2 linked regions of the Tribolium castaneum genome follow. Each later gene encodes a partner of the first gene's protein in a complex. Links are inferred from orthologs where the notes say so. Each region holds a gene or a part of one and is shown in the gene's direction. Other genes may lie near its edges.

Evidence for each region. Proteins that work in one complex are often made in the same cells at the same time.
Region 2: the proteins of orb (region 1) and peptidyl-prolyl cis-trans isomerase NIMA-interacting 1 are in contact, whole or in part, in an NMR structure (PDB 2N1O), measured with the Homo sapiens proteins. The link is inferred for Tribolium castaneum from reciprocal best matches to the Homo sapiens genes CPEB1 and PIN1. Residues at the interface, in NP_001352172.1 of Homo sapiens: Arg206, Ile207, Ser208, Pro209, Pro210, Leu211, Pro212, Phe213; in NP_006212.1 of Homo sapiens: Arg17, Tyr23, Ser32, Gln33, Trp34, Glu35.

Annotation. Positions count from the first base shown.
Region 1 is NC_087400.1:9,088,809-9,092,308, reverse strand, and holds part of orb (cytoplasmic polyadenylation element-binding protein 1), read left to right. Parts: intron 1-1,667; coding exon 1,668-1,809; intron 1,810-3,500.
Region 2 is NC_087394.1:12,589,712-12,592,480, reverse strand, and holds peptidyl-prolyl cis-trans isomerase NIMA-interacting 1, read left to right. Parts: upstream 1-1,331; 5' UTR 1,332-1,434; coding exon 1,435-1,489; intron 1,490-1,542; coding exon 1,543-1,746; intron 1,747-1,795; coding exon 1,796-2,016; 3' UTR 2,017-2,269; downstream 2,270-2,769. UniProt on the Homo sapiens protein: Peptidyl-prolyl cis/trans isomerase (PPIase) that binds to and isomerizes specific phosphorylated Ser/Thr-Pro (pSer/Thr-Pro) motifs.

The DNA of each region.
Region 1 (3,500 bases):
ACACATTTGAAACAAAGACATTATACAGACCCTTTTTTTACAGAAAATCTAATAATGTTATCATTTTTTTCAACCATTCGTTTAACTGTAATAACTTAGTTTTATTTTTTTTAAATAGGACTCATGGTTGGCTATGACATTTTCGAAAAGCTTATTTTTTCTGATCTGGAAACAATATAAATACAGTTTGATATTTTTATATACTTTTGATAAAAAAATATATTTAAAATATTTAATAATAATTTATTATGCGGTTTTAAATTAATTAGTGTTAGGTAATGTATTTTTCATATTTTTAATTGAAAATCCAAAATTTTTTCATGGCCTACTATAAAGAAAAAGCGAAATGTTATGTTTTTTTTAAATATTTAAAAATAATGTAGTACACAAATAGACATATCCAATCAGAAAAAAATTAACTTTTCAAAATATCACGGCCCCCTATGATTCCTATTTAAGACAATACAAAATGTTATTACAATTAAACGAATGGTTGAAAAAAATCGCTGATAACATTATTAGACTCTCTGTAAAAAAGTTTTTGTTTCAAGTATGTATCTTTTATTATAAAAAAAGGTATGGTTTTTTTAATATTTCTCTAAAATGTCAACTTTTGTATATAAGTCGAAAACAAAAGACGATATCAAGATCCGCTTTTGACCAAAATTATTATCTCAAAAAACGGTCCTGGGAATCTGTCACTCGTTTTTCCTATTCGGACATCCAAAATGCCGCACCCTGTACATTACCGCGTGTTTCGCGTAAAAGTAGACTATTGCTAAAATAAGAGGATATTCTGAGTATTTCTGTTGAAAATTTATCGGAAAGTATTCATAAGTAACTTGGCAGCGATTTTTCAAAAATTGGTGTACTTAAAGTCTATCCGATATTGAAAACGGCTTAGCAATATTTTAAATAGCAAAAAAGTTATAGACCGATGACACACCCCTGGATTACCCTGTATAAAAAATCGTTTACTGAGAATCGGTTTTTCATAAAAAAATCCAGTTAAAAATTAAAAAAGGAAACCCCGAACAGCTCTATATGCAGATAACAAAAGATGATTAATTAAAGGAAAATTATACAAATTATTACAATTACTTCTTTATTCGTAACTTGAAACTTAAAAATAATGCGGAAAAGATTAAAAATTTTGAACAATAGACGTAACAATATTTATGTTCTTCCTGAGTTATGTCGAAAGCGATTTTACTGGTTTTCCTCATTTCTCAGTGATTTATCGCCAAACGTTATGCACTCACTGTTACCGAAAAGTTTCATTCCACTTCTCCCAAAATGGTTCGTTTAATTTACGTGTCAATGGGACGCATTGTATGAATTAAATATTTTCGCAATTATTTTCTACGATACTCTTGACAATAATTTTGCATTACATTGAACACGTAATACAGTAATATTGCTTAATATCCCAGTTCTGGCAAGAGGACAAAACCATTTGACTCGATTGATGTCATCTATTGTATTTGTAATACACATTCATTATTTTGGAAAAGCCCTCATTTCGGAGCGAGATCTTAACATCATTTCAATGCAAATTATTGCAACTCTCATTAGCTATCCTTGTTTTAATTCTACACAAAACAATATTTTTGAATTACTCACTTACTTACTTTTCTTATAATAAGTATTTGTATTTTTTGCTTCAGGTGGCTTCATCATTACTTACAAATGGACCAGTTGTCGGAAGTGATATTTTACAACGCCATTCTATTAATTCTTTGTTGGATCAACATGATATTTTATTAGACATCGCTAATAAAAACAAACAAATGTACAATAATTTTATGGGTGAGTATGGAATGCAACAAGAACCAGTTTTTACAAAATTCTAAAGTGAAAAAACATTAATTTGCGACCTTAATTTGTGATTTTTAAAACGCCAATTTCTACCATCATTAATAAATTTTAACAAAATTTGGCAAGAAAAATGTTTTTTCAACATTGTTTATTTTCAACAGAATTAGATGGTGTTTTAACGAAATCTTTCCAGTAGGTTTAGTTTGGTATTTGAGTTTAACATTAAAAATGTATTTAAGCATTTTTTGGAAAGCTATACTTTAATGGACTAAAATTCAGTGTTTTAACGAGTTTCTTTTTGAAAAAAAAAAACTTAGTCACACTAAACAGCCCAAAAGAATGTCAATATCAATGTAGTTTAGTTGTTTTTTTTTAGCGAAATTCCACAAAGTTAGTCCGTTTTTTCGATTAGAGAAAAGATAAATCTAACAAAAAGGGCAAAAATCATGTCATTTTCGGCCTCATTTGGTAAATTCACTACAGCGTGCTCAAAAAATGGCGCACCAACTCAATGGTGTGTGGTAGAGAACTGGTTAAACATAAAGCTAAAAATAGTAAAAAAATTCATTGTATTACAGTTATTGATAAATAACGGATTTTAGATAAATGATATGTGGCAACGTTGTCTAACAGTCATGATCGCAATAGAATTTGAGCAACAATAAAAATAAATTATTTTTGAAACGGTTTCCTAGGAAATAATTCCCTGTGTTGCCACATCTACAAATTGTGATTTTTTGGATGAATTTTAATTTTTTTAAGTTAAAAAAACTGCTAAAATCTGATAGTAAATTTAAAAATAATTATTCATCGTTTTGTTACGGAACGATTACCTGGTATGATACATGAAAACATAAAAAAATAATGAAAACTGAAGAAGTTAACAAAATAAGTTTGTAGCTCCAGATTTTTTAAAATATGACTTTTTTCAACATTTTTCCCGTAATCTGCACTTGCTTCTCAATAATGTACCACTGAGTTGGTGCGCCAGTTGTTGAGCACCCTGTATAAACAGGTCAAAAAAACTTCGATTTTGATCAAATTTTTTGACAAAACTTACAATTTTCTGCCTTCACTGGTAAACTGTTGGTCACTGGACAGTGAATTTTTAACTGAAAAATGTGCTTAGCCTTTTGAAAAACAGAAAACAATGACTTGTTCAGTGGGGCAATTTCGCCAAAAAAAAATTGCACATTTTTGTTGAAAAGTTCTCGCCTTTTTATAAGCACATAAATTTTTGACAAATTTTTTTTGCCCCAAAACAGACCCTCTAACATGAATGTGGTCTGCAAATTCATCATCATAAATGCCTAATTAAAAAACGAGCCTAAATATTAGATTTTCAAATCTACTTGTTCCCAAGAACAAACTGAAACAAACAGTATCATTGCTAGAATTTCAGATTTAGGTAGTAAATAAATTGCAAGCACAAAGATCTAATTAATTTTAATTAATCAGTTTAATTAAAATTATAATAACAACAGTTAATTTTGTAAACCACTAATAAACGAATTATCGACATTTGGATATATTTTTTGTAAAGGGGTCCAGGACACATCATACTTTTGTTTAGGTGGTTCACTGAATTTTAAAGGTTGGGAACCACTACTCTAACAAGACGGACAAAATAATGTAATTTTCTTAATTTTTCGAAATGTGTTCAAGTATTTATAATACTTATT
Region 2 (2,769 bases), on another chromosome or scaffold:
AGGAGTTTTAGCGATTTCTCTAATTTTAGTACAAAAATTTCGTAGTATATGATTTCGGCATTCAATTTTTTTAATAAAATAATTAGGCCCGTATGGTCTTGCATTACGAATTTTTTTGTAGACGCTACTATCACCATCTCCTATGAGGTTTTTAAATCTTACGTTATGCATGTCTACTGATTTTTTAAATCCATCCAAAATAATTGCTGCTTCCATTGAAGTTGAAGTGTTTTTCCAATTTTTAAAACATTTATGAGGGGGCGTCGTTTGGTTTTTTTTCTTATAATACATACATTTTTTACAATTTTTATTTTTAACTCCCACGTATAAAATTTTTTTAGTCCTTGCACCGACTATTGTTGCAACACCAGAAGATGCGTTATATTTTAAAGAAATACACAAAATTTATATAATGTAAGAGTAACGCAGCTATATCTTCGCAAGCTAGTTATAGAAAAATTGTATAAATTTAATAAAAAAACGAGAAATAATTCCTAAATTCTAAAATAATACATAATTATAAAAGTATCATTTATTTTACAAGGCGTAACGTAAACAAATTATATCCCTAAGACTGGATCTTACAATCTCTCGATACGTTATTTGTACTATAATTATTACTGGGTATAGTTAGAATAAATTTTTACAACAATGTATTTTTCAGAATTTATTACCTGGATAAAATTATCAGACGAAAAAGCGGGTTTAATGAAGTTTTCATCATTTTAATGAGATATTCCTAGTAACTTTTTTAAAGTTAAACTGTTTTCTGAAAGAACAATAATGTTTCACCAATTAATTTTTTTATTTTATATTTTTTCAATGCAAGTGATCCAATTAGAAATGCACATGACACATAATATAGCGAACAGAATTCGGTTAATTAAAACATAAAACCCAATAAATAAATGGTGTAATGGTGTATTATTTTTTACAAAACTATGCTAGTATTTTATTATTCTTTAGTATCAAATTTTTTTAACAAAATAAAAAACGTCTTTTTTACTGTATGTTGCTTGAATCTCTGAAATAAGAGAAACTATCGTGGGCGATAGTGGAATTCAGTTTGTTTACATTATTTGCATTTTATGAGAAGGGACAAGACACCCCGAGGCGAAGGTCGGATGCCTATCCGATGATTGACAGCTGTCACTGAAAACAGGTCTAAAAAAGTATGCAACTTGTAGTACACCAATTCTCAACAATCGCTTCGGTACCCTGAAGCCTTAAGAGAAGTTTGTGTTTTTCAGTTTTTCTCAATATTGAACGTCTTTAGTGTTGGCAACCAACCATACAATCGCTTATTTTGTTGGTGTGAAAGTGGTTTGTGTCCGGGTATTTCCGGAAACTGAAGGAGCTAACTCGTGTAGCTGTCTTCACAGAAATAAAGCCTCGAGTGAAGTTAGCCGATAAATAAACACGCATTCTAGGAAAATGGCGGACGAACAGTTGCCTACTGGGTGGGAAAAGCGGTTAAGTCGGTCAACCGGTAATTCGGTTAAGTTTTAATCATTCTCCCTTGACTCAAAACGTGTATTTTAGGCCAACACTACTACCTGAACGTTTACACCAAAGAGTCCCAATGGGACGTTCCCGACAAACCGGCAGAACCTGTGTCTTCGAGCGGCCCCGAACAAGTCCAGTGCTCACATTTACTCGTCAAACACAAAGACTCGCGAAGACCGTCCTCTTGGCGAGAGGAGAACATCACAAGGACTAAAGACGAAGCCTTGGAATTAGTCAAATGTGAGTGTTTTTGGCCAAGAAATGTCACCACTTTTGAACGTTTTTTCAGCGTATCGCGAACAAATCGTCCAGGGCAAGGCCTCGTTTGCTGACTTAGCCTCAAAGTACTCGGATTGCTCGTCTGCTAAACGAGGGGGCGACCTTGGCTCGTTCAAACGGGGGGCCATGCAGAAGCCCTTTGAGGAGGCGTCGTTTGCGCTCAAGGTTGGGGAGTTGTCAGAACCTGTCTTTACCGATTCGGGGGTGCATATTATTCTGCGTACTGTTTAGATTTGTACTCTTTCTAGACCATTTTTACATTTATTATAAGTTCATTCATGTTCTTTCAGGTCTTGTTAACGTAATTTATGATGCATCTATGCCAAACAAATTCATATTTATATATATTGCGATGAGATTGGAGCTGTAAATTTAGTGTAAATTTCTTTTATATTGTACTTTTTACTTATTAATGAGGTAACTTATTCCTGATACTTTTGTTATTTTGTTTATGCACAATAAAGAGCCCTAAGCACTCCTGTTAGCCCGGATTTTATTCCAGAATCAAAAGTAAAACATTTGCTAAGATGCAAGCATAATACAAGTGAGGATGAGAAGATTTAAATCAATAATAGGTAATAACTATCTTTTATTTTCAAAGTGCCTTTCGCGTAGTTACAATAGTTCGAAACTACTAATACACACAGATTTTTTTACACAAAAAGTATTGTTGCAACGTTTTGCTTGTACACCATTAAATTTTATTGAGATTACTTCAAACCAGGATGTAGTCTTTCAGACGAACCGATCGGTATCGTAAATATCTTTTGGTCACCGTTGTCGAAACATCTTATTTTGAGGATTGTTTATCATAAACAGCATTAACTGCTGTAAAACGTTATGGTGTAACTACAAAGAAAACGATGCTTCAATAATAATCAATACAGGGTCTTCCACGTAATTTTACAAGGCCTGCGCCTGTAAAATGCAATCAACAATACATATTCCAATACGAACTCGATTACAAATTTTGAAAGATTGGAT